7 linked regions of the Cricetulus griseus genome follow. The protein of the gene in region 5 purifies or fractionates together with the protein of the main gene of each other region. This does not show direct contact. Links are inferred from orthologs where the notes say so. Each region holds a gene or a part of one and is shown on either strand. Other genes may lie near its edges. The genes, in order: Stau1, Mki67, Trim25, Tardbp, G3bp1, Ybx1 and Vcp.

The links.
Region 1: the proteins of G3bp1 (region 5) and Stau1 purify together in Homo sapiens (affinity purification with mass spectrometry; 3 studies listed by BioGRID and IntAct, with this or other methods). This does not show direct contact. The link is inferred for Cricetulus griseus from reciprocal best matches to the Homo sapiens genes G3BP1 and STAU1.
Region 2: the proteins of G3bp1 (region 5) and Mki67 purify together in Homo sapiens (affinity purification with mass spectrometry; 3 studies listed by BioGRID and IntAct, with this or other methods). This does not show direct contact. The link is inferred for Cricetulus griseus from reciprocal best matches to the Homo sapiens genes G3BP1 and MKI67.
Region 3: the proteins of G3bp1 (region 5) and Trim25 purify together in Homo sapiens (affinity purification with mass spectrometry; 4 studies listed by BioGRID and IntAct, with this or other methods). This does not show direct contact. The link is inferred for Cricetulus griseus from reciprocal best matches to the Homo sapiens genes G3BP1 and TRIM25.
Region 4: the proteins of G3bp1 (region 5) and Tardbp purify together in Homo sapiens (affinity purification with mass spectrometry; 3 studies listed by BioGRID, with this or other methods). This does not show direct contact. The link is inferred for Cricetulus griseus from reciprocal best matches to the Homo sapiens genes G3BP1 and TARDBP.
Region 6: the proteins of G3bp1 (region 5) and Ybx1 purify together in Homo sapiens (affinity purification with mass spectrometry; 3 studies listed by BioGRID and IntAct, with this or other methods). This does not show direct contact. The link is inferred for Cricetulus griseus from reciprocal best matches to the Homo sapiens genes G3BP1 and YBX1.
Region 7: the proteins of G3bp1 (region 5) and Vcp purify together in Homo sapiens (affinity purification with mass spectrometry; 3 studies listed by BioGRID, with this or other methods). This does not show direct contact. The link is inferred for Cricetulus griseus from reciprocal best matches to the Homo sapiens genes G3BP1 and VCP.

Annotation. Positions count from the first base shown.
Region 1 is NC_048599.1:12,481,749-12,485,248, reverse strand, and holds part of Stau1 (double-stranded RNA-binding protein Staufen homolog 1), read right to left. Parts: intron 3,180-3,500; coding exon 3,033-3,179; intron 2,071-3,032; coding exon 1,995-2,070; intron 1,846-1,994; coding exon 1,526-1,845; intron 1,025-1,525; coding exon 902-1,024; intron 438-901; coding exon 352-437; intron 1-351. UniProt on the Homo sapiens protein: Binds double-stranded RNA (regardless of the sequence) and tubulin.
Region 2 is NC_048596.1:65,227,095-65,230,594, reverse strand, and holds part of Mki67 (proliferation marker protein Ki-67), read right to left. Parts: intron 2,794-3,500; coding exon 2,638-2,793; intron 1,904-2,637; coding exon 1-1,903. UniProt on the Homo sapiens protein: Protein that associates with the surface of mitotic chromosomes and acts both as a chromosome repellent during early mitosis and chromosome attractant during late mitosis.
Region 3 is NC_048600.1:102,153,050-102,156,549, reverse strand, and holds part of Trim25 (E3 ubiquitin/ISG15 ligase TRIM25), read right to left. Parts: intron 1,552-3,500; coding exon 1,528-1,551; intron 1,207-1,527; coding exon 1,105-1,206; intron 1,019-1,104; coding exon 920-1,018; intron 441-919; coding exon 1-440.
Region 4 is NC_048595.1:7,784,997-7,787,735, reverse strand, and holds part of Tardbp (TAR DNA-binding protein 43), read right to left. Parts: intron 2,285-2,739; coding exon 2,121-2,284; intron 1,707-2,120; coding exon 1,566-1,706; intron 210-1,565; coding exon 39-209; intron 1-38. UniProt on the Homo sapiens protein: RNA-binding protein that is involved in various steps of RNA biogenesis and processing.
Region 5 is NC_048600.1:69,666,131-69,669,630, reverse strand, and holds part of G3bp1 (ras GTPase-activating protein-binding protein 1), read right to left. Parts: intron 2,901-3,500; 5' UTR 2,883-2,900; coding exon 2,788-2,882; intron 1,640-2,787; coding exon 1,558-1,639; intron 1-1,557. UniProt on the Homo sapiens protein: Protein involved in various processes, such as stress granule formation and innate immunity. Plays an essential role in stress granule formation.
Region 6 is NC_048595.1:32,872,798-32,877,011, reverse strand, and holds the start of Ybx1 (Y-box-binding protein 1), read right to left. Parts: upstream 2,801-4,214; 5' UTR 2,652-2,800; coding exon 2,492-2,651; intron 2,093-2,491; coding exon 2,029-2,092; intron 1-2,028. UniProt on the Homo sapiens protein: DNA- and RNA-binding protein involved in various processes, such as translational repression, RNA stabilization, mRNA splicing, DNA repair and transcription regulation.
Region 7 is NC_048595.1:100,536,905-100,540,891, reverse strand, and holds the start of Vcp (transitional endoplasmic reticulum ATPase), read right to left. Parts: upstream 2,801-3,987; 5' UTR 2,536-2,800; coding exon 2,519-2,535; intron 1-2,518. UniProt on the Homo sapiens protein: Necessary for the fragmentation of Golgi stacks during mitosis and for their reassembly after mitosis. Involved in the formation of the transitional endoplasmic reticulum (tER).

The sequences.
Region 1 (3,500 bases), on a different chromosome or scaffold from region 5:
CAGGAGAGGCTGCAGTTCCTTCAGTGGTCAAGAGCACTGCTATTCTTCCAGTGAGCTGGGTTCAGTTCCTAGAACCCACATGGCAAGACAAAGTGGGACAGAGGAGAGTGAGTGGGGTGGGCACTGAGTGAGGGCAAGATGTACTACCATGTATCATTAAAACAACATCAACCTTTTGCTTATTCTCAGGTCTACATCAAGGAGGGTACTGCCTAGAAAACATGGGGCTCTCCAGGGGTTCAAACCAGATTGCAGCTGCTTCCCCAGAGTTGACCTGCTGCTCACATTCACTCAGGGCACTCCTGCCTTCCACGGACGGACACCACACTGACCCTGCAAATGCTCACTTACGCTGACACTGGTCCATTTCCTGTTCTTGGCATCTCTGTGCTCTGTTGGTCCAACTCAGACAGCAACTTTAAAATGTTGAGTGCAGCCTAGAAGGGTGGAAGGAAGGAATAGTCAGCCAGAGAACAAGCCAGACTCTCCTGGAAAGAGATATCAAAAAATGGATAGCAATGTCTTAAAACTTTTTTTCCCCTCCCAATGTAATGTTTGAATCACCTACCCCGCCCCCAACCAGCAAGATGGTTTCTGTGTAGCCCTGGCTACCTTAGAACTCATTCTGACCCCTTTCCCCCCTAACTCCGAGATGTCTGCTCTAGCCAGTGACAAATCTCCTGTATGCAGACTCCTCTCCTTTAGGGTTTAACGTCACCTGAACAGACTTGGTGGGGGGGGGGGGCAACTTTCTACAGCTCCCAGAATAGAGGCTGAAGAGTTTAGACTGTTTGAAAGGTTACAGGAGAACGTGTCCCTCTTCCTGAGACCACCAACAGTCTGAACAAGGCAATGTGCCAGGCTCAGCCAGCTTCTCTCCGCAATCTTGGGGCCCACATACCATATCGTGACAGGACTCCACATCCTTGCCAATGCCGTGGCTAACAAGGGGTGGCTGTGAGGAGCAGTTGATGAGAGACACACACTCGTTCTTGTTGTTCTTGGGGAAGTCTTTGTATTCAACCTAAGAGAGAAGAGCACACACCCAGCCATGTGAACCCCAGCCCAGAATCCTCCAGGGTCCTACTTAGGTTTTAAATGCTGCTTCCTAAAGAAAAGTGTCTTCTCTCCCTAGAGACCTGTCATGCTTCTTACTCCATAATCCCCCTCCACATACACTTGCCCTGGTGCGTGCGTGCATGTGTGTAAAGCACGTGGCATGCCGGGTATGCAGGTAAAAGGACAACTTGCTGCAGTTAGTTTTCTTTCCACCAACAATCCAATTCCAGACTGTCGGGTTTGGTGACAATGCACCTTTATGCAGTGAGCCACCTTGTCACACCCCAGACCTGCCCCTGCCTCTCTCACTTCCTGCACTGAGCCACACTTTACACTCAGACCATATGATCTCACTTTTCCTGGTTTCTGTAGTACTGGGGGACAGAACCTGGGTTCTTCATATAGAAGATGCTGTAAAGGTCATTCTCTGAGGCCCAGAGATGACCACAGAAAGGCAAACAGTTACCTGGAATCCCTGGGCTCTGGAAAGGTAGTACAGCTGCTCAGAGGGTCTTGTGCGAGGTCCATGGGGTACGTGTCCTGAAGAGATGTTACTCTTTAAAATGGTCTCGGCTGTGGGCGAGGTGCCCCCGTACAACAACTCTCGAGCTATCATGGCAGTTACCGTGGCCTTGGCAGGGTTCGGAGCTGCCCTGGTGAAATCTTTGGTGTGGTGTCCTTGACTAACCCCAACAGCCTGGGCAACCTCTGGCACCATGGGGAGGATCCCGGCTGGCAGCTGCTGATGGCTCAGATAAGGCATCCTGAACTCATCCTCTTTATGACCTGTGAGGGACATACAGGTCACCACAGCCACCCCAACACCCAAGAAGCTACAGTGCCCTCTTCACCACCTCAGCACATACAAGCTCCTGTGCTTCAGTCACATAATAACCATGCAAACCCAGACACGGGATCAAGAGGGTCACACTTACTAGTTGCATTTTCATCCCCAGGGCTAGGTTCAAAAAACGTTACTTTCCTTCCGTCTCCTGGTTTCTTTACTGGGGTCTTAAGAAAGAAAAATGGCAGTGAGCATGGACAAGCGCTGGGGTCTGTGTGCATTTTATCGCCACCCATACACCACACAAGCTCTCATGCCTGCCCATGCTGGCATTTACATGGAGCAGATCATGAATGCAGAGCTGGCTCTGTGCCAAGGACCAGGAAGTGCTGGTTTAGAAGTGCTCAGCCCAGTGGGAGAATAGATAGGGTCTGCACTGGTGCTGAGGGGTGCCTTACATTACCTAGAACTAACATCCAGAAATGCTTCCACAAAGAACACAGAGGCATTTAGTGCATGACCGTCAGACACAAGGCAAGGGGGTTTTCAAATGGGAAATCTGAAAGCCAAATCCAGGTTTATGCAACTCCATATGGAATGTCTGCGTCCCAGGTAGTGACTTTGCAGGCACAGTGGGAGCTGTTTCTAGTCATGAAATGCAGAACTCAGAAGAGGCTCAGTCCTACTTTAGTGAACCCCAAGGACAACGGCTGGAGCCAGCAATAGTGGCTGATGTTCTCCTGGAGTCTTGTTGACCACTCTGCAGAGTAATATTCAACTAAGAATCACAGGAGAATTCTCAATCTGAACTATATAGATTTGGCCTTTTGTTAACAATGCTATCTTGTCCCAGAGAAGCCAAAGCCAGATCCATAGGAGCAATATGTCATGCAAACCCCTTTGAAGCACAGATGGTAGCCATACGTATTCATTCCAATCCCAACTACCCATCAGGAGAGAACAGGACATCCTGCAGAAATGCACATCCAGCCCACAGCGACACTAAACAGACTTAACCAAACCACTCGTGGGACACGGTGAACTGGACAGGAAACTTCCCTCCTGCAAACACTATCAAGTGGACGAACCCCAGGGGGCAGGCTGCTTACTGCAGGGAAGATGAAGCCTTGCCCCAGGCTTGCCCATGCAGGGAGCTAGGCCACCTGGCAGTGAGAGTCCCAGCAGTCACCTTCTCTTCTGATTTGAGTGCTGGCTTGGCAGGCTGCGCCTGGGGAACTTTGAACCCCAAGATCTCCAGCATGTTCTCAGCAGCATTGCGCTTGGCCACCTTCTTATTGGTACCCGCTCCTTCTGCAGTGTGGTTCCCAACCTTTACCTGCAGAAAACAACAAAGACCTGTGGCTGAACCTTCTAAGACACAACAGAAACTGGTTGCTGTGCTGCCAAAAGGCCCCGGGGATGACTTTGCTAAACAGGATGGAAAAGGTGTTTTGTGCAGCCAATTCTGAAACTATTGCTGTGACGGCCACATTCAAGTTAGAAACGTTTAAAATCTACAATAAAGAATACTGTATGGAAAATGTGTGCCTCGATCCTTTCCATCAACATATTTATAAAGACAGGGATCTAACCATAGTGATGCCTCCCTCCCATACCACTCTTCTGAGGGCTGGCTGTTGGACAAATTCCAGCATAC
Region 2 (3,500 bases), on a different chromosome or scaffold from region 5:
ACTTCCACCTTACCAACACCTGTCTTGGACAGACTCTTTCTGCTTGCTGGAGTTCTGACTGGTTCTGCTTGTGCAGATTCCAAAGACAACTTTGTAGTTTCCCTAACAGTCACTGGATCCCTGGTACCAACTGGAGTTTGGAAGAGTTCTTGGAAGCCATCCAGGTCTTCTAGAGATTGAACCCTGTTCTTAGGTGCCTGTGACCTTCTCTTGCGTCCTGTTGAATTTGTTGTGAAGTCCAGTTTCTGCTTTGGAGTTTCCATAATGTCTGTGCTATTGCTCTCTTCCAGCGCTGGTGCTGTGGGTGTGCGTGTGGCTCTGCCTGGTGACTTTGTTCGTTTCCCAGAGGTTGAAAGCTCTTCTGTCACTTCCACCTTACCAACACCTGTCTTGGACAGACTCTTTCTGCTTGCTGGAGTTCTGACTGGTTCTGCTTGTGCAGATTCCAAAGACAACTTTGTAGTTTCCCTAACAGTCACTGGATCCCTGGTACCAACTGGAGTTTGGAAGAGTTCTTGGAAGCCATCCAGGTCTTCTAGGGGTTGAGCCCCATTTTTAGGTGCCTGTGACCTTCTCTTGCGTCCTGTTGAATTCCCTGTGAAGACCAGTTTCTGCTTTGGAGTTTGCATAATGTCTGTGCTGTCGCTCTCTTCCAGCGCTGGTGCTGTGGGTGTGCGTGTGGCTCTGCCTGGTGACTCTGTTCGTTTCCCAGAGGTTGAAAGCTCTTCTGTCACTTCCACCTTACCAACACCTGTCTTGGACAGACTCTTTCTGCTTGCTGGGGTTCTGATACGTTCTACACATGGAGATTTGTTGGGCATTTTTGTGATTTTGTCAGCAGGGACTGGTGATAGAGAGAGTTCCTGGAAGCCATCTAGGTTTTCCAGGGGTTGCGTCTTTTCCTTAACTTTTCTTACCGGCTTCTTGCTACCAGTTACAGTCAAGTCCAGCATTTGATTTTCAGATTCCTTCAAAGCTTTGATGCCCCTGTGCTCTTGAACTTTGGGGGTATACCTAGTTCCTCCTGACACGTCCACAAAATTTAGTGCAGAGTGTTCTTCTTTCATGTCTACTCTCCTTCCAGATGTGCTGGGCCATGGTTTTGTGCTTGTTTTGGTATTCTCTGGTGTGGGTTGTGGGGATTTGCAAAAGACTTTGGTTTTATCATCACCCATGGGTTTTTCTCTGCAGCTTGGTGTTTCAAAAGGCTCCTTGAGACCAGCTGGGCCTTCTAGAGGTTGTGCCTTTTTGTCAGGGGTCCTTGACCAGCACTTCACTTTGGTTTCATATACTAGGTCCACTTTCTCTTTTGCATCTCTTCGACCATCACTCATTGGTATGTTTTGCATGCGCATGGATTCCTCTGGTGTTTCTATGGTTCCCTTTTCTTGATTAAATAGTTCCTCAGCACAGGCTGCTGTTTGGGTGGTCATCTGACTTCCCATTGAGTCTTTTGTTGGCTTCTTCTCCCTGGCACATGATCTCTTAGCTGATGTTTTTTCTGTAACTTCTTTTAATTCAATAATTTCCTTGAATCTTTGTGAAGTGTTTTCACTGTCCTGCATCTGTTGATCTACTTCTTGTCCTTGCAGTGATGTCTTCCTTAAGTGTCTTCCTGTGATGCCCTTGGCAAGGCCTGCTTCTGTGTTTTCATTCATACTTTCTACAAGTGTATGTCTAAGCTCTCTAGACCTTCTTAACTTGTTCACACTGGAAACTGTCTTCAGAGGCTCTGTCACAGAACCTGGAGTCTTCTTTTCTACATGAGCAATGTCATGGTCATTCTTAGGAGTTTGTACTGTGTTTCCATTTTTGATGCTCCTCCGCCTTAAGGTAGGACTTGCAAAATATTTATTAGATGGTTCCTTTGCTGCATTCTGAGTACTGGAGAGCACATTTTCTCCTATAGGTAACAAAATATATTTATACAATAAACATTTTTACCATCTAAGGTCGTCAACTTAGTATTTTATCTTTAGGAGGTGTATAAGAATCAATAATTTAGTTTCTTATAATAAGCTACTACATGATCTCAAGTTATTTGATGATAGAGCAGGTCCTTAAGAAGCATCTTTTAAAGGCTGCCATGACATGTGACAAGGACCTGAAGACAGGCAATTTTTACTCTGAAACATCAAAAACAGTTATTTATTATCTCGATTCACTAATGAAGTAACAGGTTCTACTGTGTATGTTTAGGGCCCATTATCAAACTCTATATGTAATCAGCAATGACCTTCTGATTCCAAAGATTGGGATTATAGGCAGGCATCACCACACCAAGTTTTTGCAATATAGCACTCTACCAAGTGAGTTGCATTTCTATCCTTGCAATAATTCTTAATATGTGTAATTTATATATGACAGGCCAAGTGTATTGTTTGTGCTTCCATTCTCTTATAACAAAGATGTTAAAAGCATATATAGACATCATTTAAACTTATTAACTGAGTGAATAGTTCTTCCTTCCAAACTAGGTTAATGACCAATGTCAGCAAAACTGCAAAGCCTGCTAGAGGAATGGCATTTCACCAGGGCAAGCTATTGTACAGAGGAATACAATATTGTCCATAAAGAAAAAAGCCATCTTTAAGTCCCCATTCAAAATATAACAGTGGAATAGAGAAATACACCAACCTAAAATCTCTGAGGTGCTAGGCAGAGGTTTGTTTTCTGAATTAGTTACTTCAAACTGTTTTTCGGGCAAATTCCCCGAATTTGAAAGAATGGAGGCCTTGTCATTCATCTGCTGCTGATTCTCCTTCACTGGAGTCTTGAACATTTCAGTTAGTCCTGATAAAGGAAAATATTGGAAACATGGCTTACATTATCCCATTTCCCACACAGGACAAGCTATATGACAGAGAAACTCTCAGATTCTAGGTCTGCATCATCTCATTAAAATGGTGATTTTGTTAACATGCTTATTTAAAAATGGATGGGTTGGGGGGCGGATGAGAAGCTAAATATATCATTTCTCTAATCCTCTCCTCTGGAAAAGGAGAGCAAAGCAAGTGATTTGGTTGACCTCAGTAGTCTTCTACATTAGTTCCCACAAGTAAGTCCTGACACAAGGACAAAAGCTGGACATGGGCACCTGTTCTCAGGGGACATCTGCCAGGAATCCACAACCTAAGGGCCTTGTTCTGTGCTCAAGAAATCCTAGGTTTCTCAGGATCTAAATCCTATGTACAAATAATGTGTGCCCACAATGTAGAATATTGACAGAGCATTGACCATTTTCAGTGCTATCAAGTAAGAAAGAACACACACACACATTATAATCTAAGTGCCATCCACATTCACTTTAAAACCAAAAGGCAGTAGTGACATAACTCCATATAAAAGATTGAAGCTTCCTGAAAAGCTTGTGTGCCATGCTCCTGTCTTTTGGACACCACAGAATGAGAAGTTGAGCTGGTACTCACTGCAGAATGGATGGGTCTGGGAATCACTGAAGTGCCCATCCACACTAGTCCATTCAGCAAATCCCATAGCCT
Region 3 (3,500 bases), about 32 Mb from region 5:
ATACATCAAATAGACCTTTTCAGTGACAGCAAAGAAGATGACAAAGCCATGGTCACAGTTGAGAAGCACACCAACTCGAGTGGCTTTGGTGGAGGGCAGGGTTTTCTCCACATTGTTGTGCCAGGCAGAGATCTTGTTGTTGAACCATTCCACACACCACGAGTTGGCATTACGGCCCAGACGGCTCTCCGGGCCCTGCCTATCCATGCTGCCGTAGCAAATGCCTACACCGCAGAAATTGTTCTTCTTCAGCTCAACCTCCCAGTAGTGAATGCCTTTCTTATAGCATTGTAGCCCCAGAACCTGAGAGCAGTAGGTGAATCTCTGGGGATGGGTACGGTAGTGCTGAAGTCCCTCAGCCACGGAGGCGGTGGTATAGTTGTCTGACAGAACCACTTTGTTGTGGGCAGTATTGTAGTCGAAGACGACTTTAACGTAATCTGAGAAAACACCCCCCGGGAATCAATGACAAGAGACCCAAGGTACTTTCACTTTTAAAGCCTTCCCCATCTATACATTTATTTTATCCACCCAGCTATTCACCTATCCATCCACATATCCACATACCCACCTACCCACTCACACTTCATCCATTCATCCATCCATTCACTCACCCACCCACTCATCTATCCATCTACCCGACCATATACACACCTACCCATTCATCCATTTACCTATCCACATACACCTATCCATCTACCCACCCACCCACCCACCCACCCATCCAACTAGCCATTCATCTCTCCAAACACCCACTCAGATACACGCATCATCTATTAACCCATCCAACTCCCCACTCACTGGTACACTGACCACCCATTCATCTGTCTATTCATCCAACTACCTGCCCACCCATCCATCTACCCATTTATCTGTATCTGCCCACCCACTCTTCCATCCACATAGTCAAGCTACTCACACTCCAGAAGCTCGGCCCTAGACTTGGCTAAGAAGTTTTCTAGCATCTTAGCTTTGAGTGCAGTAGAGTTTGGCTGCAAGGTGTTGGCTTTGGGTGCGGCTAGAAGAGGAAACAGAGAGAGGTATTCAAGACAAGCTTGGGACAAATGGCAGATATTTCTCTGGCACTTGGTCACAACAACTCACCATCAGGGTCAGTTGTTTTAAAATCCATTGACTGTCCAGGAGCTCCAAAGGTGGGAAGCTTGTTGAATGAGGAAGAGCTGGGAAAGGAGCCGGTAGCACCAGCTGAGAGCCAAGAGAAGACAAAGGTGAAACAGCAATATGACACAGAGGACTGGATGACCTCTCCCCCCTTCTAAGATGGCTGTCAACTTTCACAAACACATCTGACCAGCCAGGGCCACACAAGTGAGTCCAGATAAGGCTCTTACTCATGCACGGTGGGCCTCCCTTCCCTGCTCAAGCCTGCCTGCCTTCACAGCGTACATTTGTAAGAACAGGGCCATGGCAGAACCCTTGTTAAAGCAGTACAGCTGTTGCTCTCAACGTTAGCTCTAGACTCACACAAGTCTTGAGAACCAAGAGATACACAAATGTACAACTTACTTGGTTTCTTGGTCTTCTTTTCCTCTAAAAAAAGAGAGATTTTAGGATTAAGGAATTTTAAAGCATACACAAAAGACCATAGTAACATTCATCAATATGCATTTGACACATACAAACTAAGGAAGGCTAGCCTGCCTAACTTAAAATATAGGGGGTGGCGGACAAACACACATCTGCAAGGACAGGAACCCTGACCAGGGTCATGGGGTCATGGGGTCATGGGGTTATAGACTATTAGGAAATAGGAAGGAATTTCTAAGAAGTGTTTACGTTGGTTTGGGTAATGATAAGATGGAACCCATTTGTCAAAGACATATTTAACTATACATTTAGGGTCTGTGCATTTTGCTACAGATTAGAACTCTGCAAAAGGAAAAAAAAAAAACAAGCAAAAAAGAGGAGGTCAGAAAAAAATAGTCTTGGTTAAAATGTCACAATAGTGCTTAGAAAACATCCTGGCCGGGCGTTGGTGGCACACGCCTTTAATCCCAGTACTCCTTTAATCCCAGTACTTGGGAGGCAGAGGTAGGCAGATCTCTGTGAGTTCGAAGCCAGCCTGATCTCCAGAGCAAGTGCCAGGACAGCCTCCAAAGCTACACAGAGAAACCCTGTCTTGAAAAACAAAACAAAACAAAACAAAAACAAAACAACAACAACAACAAAAAACACATCCTGCCTTCCCCAGGGCTCTTCCAAGCACACCCTGTCACTAGGTGTTCTAGTCCACAGAGAGACCAATGCCCAACAGTGGTTTGCTAAAGACAACTCACACATTATATACAAGCAACAAGCAGTAAAGTGCACCTCTTACACCCCTGACAACACTAGCAGCGGGCATCTAGATGCCTTTTCAGTAGACCTCGGGGAAATAGTTACAGCTTGCTGGTTTAAAAGGGTTATAAAGAATTCTAACAATCAGTGTGTCCCATGGGAACCTCACTTGCTTTCATCCCACGGGCTCAACTGTCATTATTTTCCAAATGTGAGGAGCAAGGAGATTCCTACTATTCTTCTCCAGCCCAATGTCCACATTCCCAGTGACAGTGACACTATCCCCGATGGAGGAGGGGAACAGGGATAAAAATCTAAGGCTTGAGGTGTGGGGTGTAAAAGGTGTTCTTTTGCCAGGCGGTGGTGGCACATGCCTTTAATCTTGGGAGGCAGAGGCAGGTGGGTCTCTGTGAGTTCAAGACCAGTCTGGTCTAGAGAGCGAGTTTTTTTGTTTTTTTGTTTTTTTTTTTTCCTTTTTTTGAGACAGGGTCTCTCTGCATAGCCCAGGCTGTCCTGGAATTCCCTATGTAGACCACGATGGCTTCAAACTCACAGGTGTTGGAATTAAAGGCATGCAACCACCATGCCCTGGTTACTGCTTATTCTTTTTATAAATAAACCGATATACTGTACACGCGTAGAATCAAATTTTCACTGGAGGGGACAATTAGGAAAACATTGCCTATGGCTCAGTGGGAGAGGTCAATAGAGGAAAATAGTGAGAAACACAAGGCTCAGGAGATGGCTCACTGGGCAAAGGGCACTTGCTATGCAAGCATGAGAACACGAGTTCAGATCTTCAGACCCCAGATAATGCTAGATGGGGTAGCATGCATGTCTCCCAGAACTCTCATGGTAAGATGGCTTACGGACATAGGAGAACCCGGAAACTTTCAGACCAGTGAGTCTGGCTTATGCCATGGCAAACAAAACACCCTGTCTCAAACAAGGTGGAAGGTAATGACTGACAACCAAGATTGAATTCTGACTTTCACACATGCACCACGTGTCCACACTCACACACACACAAGCATAAACACACATACACGCACAAACTAAAGACAGGAAAGATTAAAAAAAAAAAAAAAAGAGGGAGAACCACTGCAACAGTGTGCATTAAAGCCAGTTGGGCAGAGAGCACATTTATTGACTAGGCTTGGAGTGTCAAGTGTTTCCTCAAACACATGACAGATTTGGTGACT
Region 4 (2,739 bases), on a different chromosome or scaffold from region 5:
AAATTCCCAGCCCCGATACAAATGAAGAAGAAAAATACCTTATCATCTGCAAAGGTAACAAAGGCAAAAGCCCTGAATGGTTTGGGAATGAAGACATCTACCACTTCTCCATACTGGCAGAAGAACTGCTGAAGCTCTTCAGCAGTCATGTCTTCTGTACAACGCCCAACAAACACCTTTCTGCTTCTCAAAGGCTCATCTGGGCTTTGCTGGTCAAAAGGAAGAGTAGAAAAAAAATACATAAAGGCATACTGTCACTGCCCCCCTCCCTTTGCTTTTTGAGACAAGGTCTCACTGTCTATCTCTGGATGGCCTGTGCCTGAGTACTGAGATTAAAAGGTGTGGGCCCTTGTAATCTTGAACCAAGTACATGTCTGGTGCCCTTAAAGGTCTGAAGAAGGGATTGGGTCACTCGGAATTATAGTGTTGTGTGTTGCCATATGGGTGCTGAAAACTGAACCAGTCCTTCTCCAAAAACAATTACTAATTAACTTTTCTTCCTCATTTCCTTCGGATTTCTAAAACAGGCTCTCCCGTTTTAAGGATGGCCTTAAGCTTGATATGTGAGGACAATCTGGAACTCCTGATCCTGTTACTACCTCCCATGTGCTAGAATTACAGGAATGTAATACCAAGAGACCATTATGTCACATTTGCGATAGAGGTTGATGCTAGCCATCTTTCTTAGTCATTCTCCACCTTCCTTATGAGGCTGGGTCTCACTGAACTCGTATTTGGCTAACTAGACTGGTAGCCAGGCAAACTCCATGAATTAGCCTGCCTCCCGCCTCCAGGGGTGGGATTACAAGTATATCTTACCACACCTAGCTGTTAAACACAGGACCCCAGCACGTAGAAGGCAGAGGCAGGCTGATCTGTGTTGAGCTTGAGGCCAGTCTGGTGTACAGAGTGATAGCTAGGACCATGCAGAGAACCCTGTCTCAAAATAAAGATGTGTGTTCCCGCCAGGCATTGGTAGCACACACCTTTAATCCTAGCACTCAGGAGACAGAGGCAGGCGGATCACTGTTGAGTTTGAGGCCACCCTGGCCTACTGAGCAAGTTCCAGGACAACCTCCAAAGCAATACAGAGAAATCCTGTCCCGAAAAACAAAGTATACTTTGACCCCAAAAGAAATGTTCCAAATAATTAAAGTCTCATTTGCTTGTTTGGCGTAAGTTTGGGCTGGGGTTATAGGCTCAGTGGTCAAGCACTCGACACTACTAGGTTTAATCAGGGTACTCACATCTCTCTGAGTTCCAGCCTGGTCTACAGAGTGAGTTCCAGGACAGCCTCCAAAGCTATAGAGAAACCCTGTCTCGAAAACTCAGAAGAAAAAACAAAACTCCCTAAGATTAAGCTGAGTGGTAGTAGCCCACACCTTTAATCTCAGCACCTGGAAAGCAGAGGCAGGTAGGTGGATACCGAGTTTGAGGCCATCCAAGGCTACAGAGACACCTGCCTTGGAAAACTTTTCCTGCCGTCAATGTTTCCAAATGCACTTAATTTAAGGTCTTTTAAAAGAAAAAAAATCACCCAAGCATACAGGAAAAGAGCAAAATACCTTAGAATTGGGGAGTTTACAGTCACACCATCGCCCATCTATCATATGTCGCTGTGACATCACTTTCACTTGGGTTTCATATTCCGTAAATCGAACAAAGCCAAACCCCTTTGAATGACCAGTTTTAAGATCTTTCTTGACCTAAGAAAAGAAATTTACTCTAATACCACATATATACCAAATCAGAGTTCACATAGAAACTTGAATGGCTTCAACTGAACGAAAAAGCACATTAAAGTTTAATGTTTAATAACGTTAGTCCAAGGCAAGAATCAATAGGGAATTGCATCATTAACAGGGAATGAATGACTCACGACAGAACTTAACAATGTTTTACAATGAGCACAAATATAATAGTTCTAATATGACCTAGTTCCTTTAAACCAGTAATTTTCAACTTTCCTATTGTTTTCACCCTTTAATACAGTTCCCACTGTTATGGTGACTCTCCAATCATAAAATTTTTGGTGTTACTTCCTAATAAGGATCGATACTGTTATGACCCATATATACAGAATAAACAAAAGGAAAGCTGTTACCCAGAATCAAGTTTACCTGAACCATAAGAACCTCTCCAAAAGTACTGAAATAGTCTTTAAGATCTTGTTCTGTTGTTTTCCAAGGGAGACCCAACACTATTAGATCAGATGTTTTCTGAACTGCTCTTTTCACTTTCACGGCCGAGGAAGCATCTGTCTCATCCATTTTCCTTTTGTTATCTAAACAAAGCGAGCATAAACCCATATTTAGCAGTTCTTTAAAGATAGGTGGAGCTCTGTGAGTTCGAGGCCAGTCTGGTCTGCAAGCTAGTTCCAGGACAGCCAGGGTTATACCCCGTCTCGAATGACCACCCCATTCTAGTTTTATATTATCTTATTGAAAATTGATCTGTATACACATTTGTAAGCCGTTTCTGGACTTCTGCCCTGTTAGGCTGCAAACCACTGCAATTGCCCTTTTAAGTGTGTTCTAGAGGTAGACAGGATGTCTGTCTTGCTCTGCAAGTGTCTTTACCAAATCAGCTATCTCCCTGGCCCAGGATTTCAATAATGTAGGATTATAAAATCAACTGCATGTCCTCCTCAAAACCTGTATCTAAATCAATGCAATTTTACTTCCTTTTAATTTTGTGGCATGGAATTTATCTGACTGATCGAGGGTATCAGACACCTTG
Region 5 (3,500 bases):
AATGGAGGCAAGAGTCAATCCCCAGGAACTCAGCAGTTCCAAAACTAAGACAGTAGCAGCTACCAGCACCAAATCAGAGCCTGGCATCTCCCTGTGTTCTCTCAGATCAGGTCCTTGACACTCAGCCCTACCTCCTATTCCCACAAGCTCCTTGAGCAGAGTCTCAAAGCAATCAAGAGCAACAAAACAAGCACACTGAAGGGCAAAAACTCATTCCACGGCTTCAGTGAGCTTGACAGTAGCTAGGGCTGCCTAGGAGGCATGCCTGGAGTCTCTAGATTAGGTCAATTATGATGTGAAGATCCATCCTAACCGTGGACACCACCATTCCACAGGCTAGGGCCCTGTGTTGTATAAAAGAGGATGGGAACTAAGTACCAGTACTTACCTCGTGCCCTTGCTACAGCCCCACTCTGATGGACCAACCAACACCCTTGAACCATGAGCCTCAACAGTCCTTCCTGCCTAAATGCTTCTATTGGGTGTTTTGCCTCAACAGTGAGAACAGTACTCAACAAAACCAGAGACTTCTATAGGACTGTAATTAACACCTAGTTTACACCTAGCTAAAAATAAATCATAAATAATAATAAATAAATAATCCCAGGCTGGTGAGGCCTAATGATCCACATGTGATCTCTAGGGCAGAAACAGAGCTCCTGAAAAGGTGCCCTTTGACCTCCGTATGCATGTATGCCATGGCAGTCACACTCACCCAAAAATCAATAAATGCAAACATCTCAGAGCAGGAGATGGCTCCATGGCTAAGATCTCTTACTGCTCTTAGAGGGACCTATGCTCACTTCCCTGAACCCACATGGCAGCTCAATCACCTGCAACTCCAGTTCCCAGGGATCCAAGCACTCTCCCAGATTCCTCAGGCCCTAGGCATGCACATGGTACACAGACATGTATGTTGGCAAAACACTCATACACACAAAACAAAAATATAGCCTTAAAAAAAAATTAAAAAGTAAAAATTTCCCAATACAACACAGATAAAGGGAATGTATACACTGCTGTTTATATAATATAAACTGTCTGTGTGTGTGTGTGCTCTGGTTCCAGTGATCACAGCTCAGCCCCTTAAAAAAATAACTGTCCTGCTATATATATGTACAATCCAAGCACTTGAGAAGCTGAGGCAGGATATTCATAGCAAGCTCCTGGACAGCCAAAAACATGTATCAAAATTATGTGTCAAAAAACAAAATACCGGGCGTAGTAGCACATGCCTCTAATCCCAGCACTTGGGAAGCAGAAGCAGGAGGATCTCAGTGAGTTCAAAGCCAGCCTGGTCTACAGCATGAGTTCCAGGACAGCCAGAGCTGCTACACAGAGAAACCCTGTCTTGAAAAACCAAAATAAGATATCAAATAGCTGTCTTGAATGAACACCTTTTAAGTTTAGAAATGACATTGCTGTATAGAAGCCAGCTAACACAGAAATGGCATTTCAGCAAACCAAGGAATTAAAGAGGAGCCACCCTCCCGAGGAACTAACTGCCTGGTAGGCAAGAAGCTACCTCCTCTTCTACTACTGGGCCATGGCACCCACCTTCTGCCCATAGACCGCATCCGCTGGCTTCCCGTTGGAATCCAAGCCCCCGTGGGCATAGGAAGAGTTCTTTCCATAAAATCTGTACAAGAGAAGGCAATTTACTTCTCATCTTCAAGGACACGCAGATGAGGTACTTAGTGTTCAGGCTTGATCCCTATCCACCTCACTGGCAGGCTCACAGCAGGGCCTCTATGTTTGTGCATGATAAATCCATTGTACACACACACACACCCAGAGTCAGCACCAGTCTCAGTCAAAGAGGCATGTGTGTGGTTTTCAAGTCCCGACTTCCAGGTTTCAGGGTAGGATGATCATGTTGGGAAGGAGCTTGGAGTTTGTCAGCAAAGCCAGGCACTTAAAATCAAAGTCAAGTTCCTGCTTCAGCTGAGGACAGCTGCCCTGTCATGAACCAAAGAGTCAGTGCCTTCCCACCTGAGAAGGCAGTGGGCAGTTGTCCTGTGTGCGGGAAGTATGAACTTTTCATCCCTTTATTGCTCTCTCTCTCTCTCTCTCTCTCTCTCTCTCTCTCTCTCTCTCTCTCTCTCTCTCCCCCCTAAACACTCAGATACCCTGTACTCTGTTTTCATTAAAAGGACAGAGATGTACAACAAATGCCAACTAAAGATCACCGAAGAAATCTGAGGTCAGCCCAATAAGCCCTAAAATAAGTGAGCCCACATTATTGCTATGTTATTTTCTAGCAACCTTGCTACCCTCTTTTTAAGAGAAGGCTTCTCCTATGTAGCTCTGCCTGGAACTCACTATGTAGACCAGACTGGACTCAAACTCAGAGATTCACCTGCCTCTGTATCCTGAGTGCTGAGATTAAAGGCGTGTGCCAATGTAGACATGCTGCTACTTTTCACATGTTTAAGGGAACTCATAGCTCATAGCCTCTCATCTCTCCACCAGGCCCCTCTCCACTACACCCTCAATGGGAATGAAAATGCAGGAAAAGGAAATCGTAGGCTGTAACTGCATTAGCAAGATAGGTGTGCATGCAGCATCTTCCAGCTCCAGCTTGGGTTTGTGCTAAGTCCACATACTTTTCTACACTACAACACTAAAATCCCAGCACTCAGGAGGCATAGGCAGGCAGACCTCTGAATCCCAGGCCGGGGATACAGATAGGACCTTATGCTCTTCCTTTCTAAACCACTACCTATAGCTGCTTATGTGAAGGACCATCCCACAACACCTCTCCTAGGCAAGTGAGAGAGAACACACCTGTGCAGCATGTCCGGGGCCTGGTTCAGCAGGGTGTAGTACTGTCGCACAAACTCCCGCCCGACCAGCAGGGGACTAGGCTTCTCCATAACCATCGCTTTGGTGGATTCAACCTGTAAAACAATACCAAAACGTGTCAGTCAACAATCAGAAGTGCTTGAAAAGGACTGACTCACTGTGCTAACTATACAGCATCGCTTCAGCATTCCTAAGAGTCTCCCTGCTACACTCTAGCTATCCTGGAACTCACTGTGTAGACCAGGATGGCATTGAACTCAGATTTGCCTGCCTCACCCTTCCAAATGCAACTGGTAAAGATTACAACCACACCTAGTAATCTTAAAGTTTAAAAAGGAATAAACAGGCACTGGAGAGATGGCTCAGCAGTAATGGCTCCTCTTCTAGAGGACCTGGGTTCAATTCCCAGCACCCACATAGCAGCTCACAGCTATCTGTAACTCCTCTCCCAGGGGATCTGATTCCCCATATAGACATACTTGCAGGCAAAACACCAATTTATATAAAATAAAATAAATAAATTTAAAAAGAAAAAAAAAGGAGTAAATATAGCCAGGCATTGGTAGCACACACCTTTAATCCCAGGACTCAGGAGGCAGAGGCAAGTAGATCCCTGTGAGTTTGAAGCCAGCCTGGTCCACAGAGCTTGTTCCAGGACAGGCTCCAAAGCAATACAGAAAACCCTGGCTCAAAAA
Region 6 (4,214 bases), on a different chromosome or scaffold from region 5:
AGGGCCTGGTGTTAGTGGCGCACGCCTTTAATCCCAGCACTGGGGAGGCAGAGGCAGAGGCAGGTGGATCTCTGAGTTTGAGGCCAGCTGGTTCCAGGACAGGCTCCAAAGCAACAGAGAAACCCTGTCTCAAAAAACAAACAATCCTAGAATATACAACTCAGAATTCACAGTGCATTCCAAATACCTATCTCCCATTTTACATTCTATACTGTTTAAGTAGGACAAACCTCTAGTTCACTGAAACCAAACCTCAACAGTTATTATCTCATTTAAAAACCAATGCGTCAATATAATGGTCTGCTTAGAAACAAGCACATTTTAAACAATTAAATCAGTAATTGGGGTTAAGATATTCTAACAAAGGATCATCATAAGCTAATTACATTTAAGTTGCCCAGAAAAATGATCAACTAAGCTACTAAGGACAGTCTATTGTAATCTACACAATTGCACAACATAGAACAGTATACAAATCTTGGAAAAAAACTGCTTAAAGGAAAGTGATAAGCCTAGCCAAACGCTAAAATTTATTAAATGCATACCAAAAAACCCCACAGCTAACCCAACTAGAAATGTGGCCAAAGAGGACTAGTTAACAGCACTGGGCTAAGGGTTCTAAAACTGTCCTTTGGAAGGTAGGGTATACAGACTAGTCTCAGCATCCTCTGGGACTGTTAGGATAGAAATCTCAACCAAAGCACCGACAATGACCAGTTTAAAGCCACCAGGTAACTAACCCTATACAAGCAGCAAAATATTATATTTCCCTCTTTGCTCACTAGTAACCCATGGGGGGGGGTAACATGGAAAATGTAGCATTCCTCAGGAAAGCGAACAGCCTACCACAGTAGAAAATCCTAGTCTGGAAAAACAAAATGTTTCCCTGTAATTGCTACTATAGAGAACAGACCATTAAGTGATTGTAATCGCTTCTGTTTGAGTGTTTCCACAACACGGCGTGGTTCAATGAACGGTTTTTCATCACTCCGTTATTTTAAAAGACTAGCTGCCAATTTGATAGTGTCCACTTCACAAGCACTCAGTCACTCTTAAGCGTCTTTCCCACCATCTACTTATTTAACGCCTTCTAAGCAAGCATGTAAGAGAGAAAATGCTGAAATGGCGCCAAGTCTCACAGCTGTACGGCCAGGATTGCTGCTGGCACTCGCGGTGCTCTACACCCATGCAACTGCACTAGCCTTGGCAGCCATCTTGAAAAAGATGCCGGGCTCACAAGGGAGCCCAGAGTGCAGCCACTGCACTCACCACCACCACCACCGGCTACAAACCATTCTAAACCATTCTCTGGATCTATGAAGATGTAGTTTGCAACTAGATTAAGGACTTAAGGCCACTCCAGTAAGCTACAGCCAAGCTTTCACAAAAATTGATTTGATCAGCCATGATTCCCGGACAAGGAAGTAGAAGAAATAAAAATTGAGGAAGAACCATTTTCTTCGGATGTATTATTTGTCGTTTTGGATAAATATGAATCGTCTTTGGCTATAGGAGTTCTATAGAAAATGTGCTCGAGGTTCTACAAGGAATGCATATTTGAGTCGACTAAACAAAGGCAACATAACCTTACAGTGCAGATAACATCTCAGGCACTTGACATGTCAAATCATGTTCCCCAAGAGGTTAACAAGGTGAAAAAAAAATCACCTGTATGTTAATTAGTGGGTCACATTCTTACATAGCAATTTCAACGAAGCAGGAAGGATGTCAAGGTTAAAAACGTGCTTAGCCTGGAGTTGCCTCAGTTTGATGCAAGGTAACTGTTAAGGCATGGTTCATGCGCCGCGCTTGCATAGACCTGCTTTGTGCCAAAGCTTTGAGGCTAGCTAGCTCAAGATTGGTATTCAACGGCAAAACAAAGCAAGCCTACAGACCCCACTAATCCCGTCACCCAAGAACAAACACCAGGTTTCCAACCCCTCTCCCTGTCAGGCCCGCGGTGGAACCGGCCCTTGAGATTACCCATGCAGGGAGGCGGGCCCGAGCTTTTCTACCCCGGCATCTCACCTGTTGATGAAACCGTATCCGTTCCTTACATTGAACCATTTTACTGTTCCCAAAACCTTCGTTGCTGGAAAACAAAGCACAACAAGGTCCAATCAGCAGCTGGCCCTGGAAGTCGGTCCAGGATCCGGCCGCAGGCCCGGGCCGCCGCCCTCACCGCACACGTGGGTGCGCTGGGCAGCGCGGGTCCGAGGTGGGTGTGCGCCCGGGAGGCGAGCACGTGAGGGCCGGGAAAAGCAGCCCGCGCCGCTCCGGTTGCGTAGGCGGCGGGGCGGGGATCCCGCGCACGAGGACCCGAGGCTGGTGGGCGCGGGGGAGGGGCGGCCGCGGCCGGAGCGGCGGCGGGAGCCCGGCGTGCGCGCGCGGCGGGCCTCGGGGGGGAGGGGCGGCCGCGCAGTCGGTGGCTCGGGGCCGCTCGCCTAACGGTCCGGCCCGCGGCCCACCCCCGGTCCCCTCTGGGGCTCACCGATGACCTTCTTGTCCCCGCCGGCGGGCGCCGCCGATGTGAGGCCGCCCGGGCCGCCACTACCCGCGCCGCTGCCCGTGGAGCCGGGCTTGGTGTCGGCGGCGCTGAGGGCGGCGGCGGGGGCGGCGGGCGGCTGCTGGGTCTCGGCCTCGCTGCTCATGGTTGCGGTGGTGGTGACTGGGGCCGGCGGCGACGGCTGCGGCTCCTCCCGGGGTGTGATGGTGACTAGGCCGGCGGCGGCGGTGGGGCTCTCAGGGCTCTCTGGGGTCCGCTCTCCGCTCCCGCTACCGATCGAACTAGCGAGAATGGCGGGACGGGCGGGATAAGCCCCGCGATAGGCCCGCCCTCATCCTCTTTTATTGGCCAGGATCATCGTCAATCCTACCACCTGACCGGGTCCCTAGCGCCTATTGGCTCGCGCTCCGCGTCTCTTGCGCGCTCATTGGGCCCTTTGGCGACTAATTCGGCCGACCCACAGCCGCTCCTGCCTTCGCCGCCATAGAGACCGGAACTAGAATGAGCTGCTCGGCCGTGAGCACCATAGAGTACCGGGAGGACGCGTAGAGGGAACGTGTCCGCACGGGGTTGCGCTCGTCGCGCACGTGGGCCGCGGTGGCTGGGCCTACCCGTGCTTCTAGAAGGGGCTCTCTCCCTGGACCGGGTGAGCGCCGCGGCCTCCTTAATGGCTCAGGCTTTTGGCGGTCCAGTCACCTTGGAGGGACCACGCAGGCGCTCCGGCTGCCACGAAATCAGTGTTTTCAGGGCGGGGGTGCTCCTTTACCGGGCGCACGAGGAATGTGTTTCATACTGGCCACAAATTGGATTTAATTTAGTGGATAAGTTAGACTCCCCCTTCCCCCCACACCAAGCAACAATGTTGACAAGGATTGCAATCCATGTTTTTATATCCTGTAAAATACAGGTTGTCTGGTGCTACTGAATCCCCCCGCCTATACCTTCATTCATTCTTTATTAGGCATCTACTATTGACGAGGCATTTAAATAGTTTGCCAGTAAGTTTCTGCCTTCTGATGGAGGCACAAACTTACACGCCTAACACTTCATAGTTGGGTGACCACAGCCTTTGGGGAAGGAAGGAAGTGTTGGGTGGTGACTTTTCAGGCAAAGATAGGTTTGTGCAAAGGCCTAGAGGGCCTCAAGGAAAATGCAAATAAAGGGATTCAGTAGGAGTAAAAAGAAATATGGGTTGTAGAGGTGGGCAGGGTCAACTAGGTGTATTTAATGTGAGATTGATTCATCCTGAGGTCACAAGTGGGGAGGGTAATTTTTAGAGTTTTAAGTAGGGAGTCTCATCTTAAAAAGAAAAGGCTGCTGCTTGGGGAATGGGCTGCAGAAAGAGGAAGGATGGAAGCAGGGAAAGCAATTAAAGGGACCCAAGGTGGCTCTGTGTAAAGGCACTTGAGACCAAACCTGAAGATCCTAGTTCCTATATGAGCACTGTGGCATTCATCTCCCACCCCCCCACCCCCCAGTAAATAAATACATGTAATAGCAATTACAAGAAGAAAGTTAGTGTAGTAACCCTTATCCCTTGCCGGCTAAAGGCCTCCCTTTGTCAGTTCTGGAAAATCTGATCCTGAAGCAAGTTAGGCTTCTCTGCCATTACTTTTTGCTTAAAGCAGAGACAGCAATAAATAAATAAATAAATAAATAAATAAATAAATAAATAAAATTCCTACTCTTGTTTTATGTGCATTGGGGT
Region 7 (3,987 bases), on a different chromosome or scaffold from region 5:
GAGGCTGCCCATCTTCTTATTTTCAGGACTGAACTGAAGATAATACTTCAAGTTATCATTTTGTATTTTAATCTCAAAACTTCACTTTAGAAGTGGGGCATGGTGATGAACACCTTTAATCCCAGCACTTGGCATTGGCTAGCCTAGTCTATAAAGTACCAGGACAGCCAGACTGTCATACAGAGAAACCCTGTCTGGACCTGTCTGGGAAAAGAAAGAGAGAGAGAGAGAGAGAGAGAGAGAGAGATTGATTGATTTCAGGACAACCTCCAATGTGACTATGAGTCCAGACCCTTGCTCTAGAGATGAGTGGTATGGCTGTTAAAAGACCTATAATTCAGCTACCCATAGAGATTAGAGCTGGTAACCTCTAACAGAGCTGAAAGCAACTGCAGCTTCTAAATGTTCTTTACGAAAATCTATCTGTGCATGACTCAGGTCCTTTCCAGAATTCAAAGACCACACAAGGGAACTTGGGAAAGTTCAGGTGAGAACCTAAAGGTAGAAACCACCTATGATGCCAGATTTCAGAAATTTTAATTTAAAAAAAAAAAAAAGGATCTTCCAGTCTCTTTGGCCTCAGTGGGCGAATGAAGCACCTAAAAGTTGTCAATCGAATATTCAGACAGGGATTCCGTGAAGGGACAACACCTAAACCCAAGAGGGCAGCTGTTGCAGCATCCAGTTCATCTTGAGGATTTTAGTCAGTCTTAAAAATAAAATGTTCTGAGCTGGGCGTTGGTGGCACATGCTTTAATCCCAGCACTGGGAGGCAGAGGCAGGCGGATCTCTGTGAGTTAGAGACCAGCCTGGTCTCCAGAGCGAGTGCCAGGATAGGCTCCAAAGCTACACAGAGAAACCCTGTCTCAAAAAACCAATAAATAAATAAATAAATAAATAAATAAATAAAATGTTCTGGTTTCTGGGGCATACAGTGATTTTCCTATAATCCCATTACTTTGGGGACAGGGGACAGAAACACCAGGAATTCAAAAACAGCCTTGACTACATGGCTGAGTTTGAGGCCAATCTGGTCTACACTGGGCAGTGGCAGAGCACAACTATAATCCCAGCACTTGGGAGGCAGAGACAGATGGATCTCAGAGTTCTAGGCCAGCCTGGTCTAAAGAGTGAGTTCCAAAACCACCAGGGCTACACAGAGAAACCCTGTCTCAAAAAAACCAGAAAGAAAGAAAGAGAGAGAGAGAGAGAGAGAGAGAGATCAAAGGTAAAATACCACAGAATACTTTTAAAGTATATTTTGTTGTTTTTTGAGGCAAGGTCTATGTAGCCCAGGAACTCCCATTGTAAAGACCAGGATAGCCTAGAACTTTCTGCCTTTAAGTGCTGGGATTAAAGATGTGCACCACCCAACACACCCTGGCTATTTAAAATATTAGTACTTTTAACTAAGCAACTGAGTGAATACTTCATTCCAAGGAAATGAAACTTAAAAACACCTAATCACCTCAAAACATCGACAGAAGATTTGTATAGTTTCCTAGGCTTGCTGCTTTTTGTTTTGTTTTCAGTATGGTAAACTCTAGTTTCTCAACTGAATGGGCTGAAATGACTAGGTTTTATTTGATGCTTTCCTTAAAAGTTGGGGCCCTAAAATCCTAAAGCCCAGACAATCTCTGATCGTTGCTGCTTGGATAAGTGTGCATATTTAAGAGTTATTTAAAAGTTAAAACAACTCTAACCTGCAATCTCTGAAAGTCAAAACACAGAAAGCAAAAACAAAACAAACTCAGATTCTAACTTCAGCACGTTAAAATAGAAAAACAGTTTTCTAACCACCCCCTGAACATAGCAAAAATAATAAAATAATAAAAATAATAGGTAAAGCTTCCTGGTATTTACAACAGGCCTAACATGGTGAAAAATTGCCATCTGAGAAAAGCACGACCTAACAGGCCCTTCACTACCCAGGATGCAAAAGATGCCAACCTCAGGCAAGGCCGTACGGGCTCCACCAAGGCCGACCTGGCTTCCCCCAGGTTGCTCGGCCCGGCCTTCCCCTGAGTCTCAGGGCTCCTGAGGCCTTCACGTGGCCCAAAGTCCACGCCCACTGGGCCCAGTCGAGGCCTCCGGCTTGCAGTGTTTTCTCTTCGCGGGCTTAGGGTCTTCCGCGTGTGGTCGGTGAAGTGGCCGGAGGGCATCCCAGAGCCACAGAGCTCCGTGCCGGCAGTGTGAACCCTAAGGCCTAAGTAGGCCGGGGCCGCCTTGCCGAGGGAGCTCGTCAGGCCAGCCGGGGCCTGCATGACACAGCACCATCTTGCCCAGGCTCAGACCCGGGCCCAGCGCGGGCCCGACCTAGGGGGCGCGCGGGTGCACAGCCCGGCCCGAGGCCCTCACTCGCCCCTTTCCTCTCCTTCCGTCCCTCTCCTCCCGGCCTAGACTCTCCTCAGACGCGGCCCTACCGGGCCTACCCAGCGCGGCGAGTCCCACGCGTGCGCGCCTCCGCCCAGCCGGCGGGCGGGCGCGGCGGGCGGCGGCCCTGCGCGCATACACTTACTCGGCTCCAGAGGCCATGGCGCGCGCCTGTCCCGGTCGGCGGCTGTGGCGGCCTGAGGGTAACGGCTATGAGAATGGCAGGCGACCGGCTAGGCCCGGGCTTGACTCACTCAGGCGGTGGATCAACAGCGGTGACAAACCCTCAGGCAGCCTCCCTCTCGCTTCCTCCCAGCGGCACCGGGGCGGCAGGCGGGCGGGAGACGCTAGCTCCTGATCCGCGAGGGGGTCAGCGGCAGCGACTAATCAAACGACGGCAGCAAACGCTTCGCTGAGACTGAGCCGAGAAGAGCCGAATCATCGGAAGGAAAGCTGCTCTCACCTCAACCAATCAGAGCCTGCCTTGGGACTCGTGCCCGCCTCTCCGTGCCTCTCCCCAGCAACCCGCGGACCACAACCAATCAGAAAATTCGTTTATGGCCTGGCCCCACCTCAAGGCTGCAACACGCCTAGTAACGCCACGTCAATTGGCCGCAGCACTACGCTTCCTCGACGGATTGGGATTCTTGACCAATCAGCAAAAGGAATAGGCCAGATTGTCTGGTAAAAGGAGAGCCTTTAATGCCTCCGAGGAGGCCTCTCCTACTTGGCTCCAGCTGATTGGCTCCTTAGTTTATAAGCTGCTGGAAGAACCTAACACAATGGCTTGAACCCTTATTAGTTTAGTCGGGTTGTAATGGCAACCCACGTAGTCGATTTCTCGCCAATCCTGGCGATCCTCTTATTCCACCACAATAACCCTTTAAAACACTGGCTCCAACGAAGGGCGTGGTGGATGGTCTAGGTCTGTAACCCTAGCAATTGGGAAGCAGAGGCAGGAGAATTATTAGTTGGAGATCAATTCAGGACCTTTTCTGAAAAACAAAACCGGGTTGGGCATAGTGGTGCAGATCTATAATTCTAGCGTCAAAGGAATATCTCAAAAATAAATTTTAAAAGCAGTGTAGTGGCACATGCTTTTAATTTCAACACTTCGAAGACAGCGGCAGGCTGACCTCTTGAGATTTAAATCAGGCTGGTCTATTAAAAAAAAATAATAATTGCAGCCAGTCAGGGCTACATAGTGAGACCCTGTATCAAAACTAAGTAAATAAAATTTTAAAAAAACCACACACACAAAAAAAAAAAAAAAAACAGCTGGGTATGGTGGTGTTCATCCTAGATGCCAGTACTCCACAGACTAAAAGCAGGAGGGTTGAGTTTGAAGCCAGCTAGTGCTACACAGCTAGACTAGGTCTACCAAAACCTAGTCACCCTTTCCCTGGGCCCTAGTTCTGAGTCAGCAGAACCCCAGCTCTTAATTCAGTCTATTGACTGATTTTTCAGTCTATTGACTAATCCCTCAGGTTTTACAATTTCCCGGAGTTTGAGAGTACATATTCTTTGCCACAGTGTATAAATACTATCTGTGGATGGAGAACACTCAGGCTCAAAGAGGTCAAGGACATCTGCAGAACACAGCAAATTCAGTGC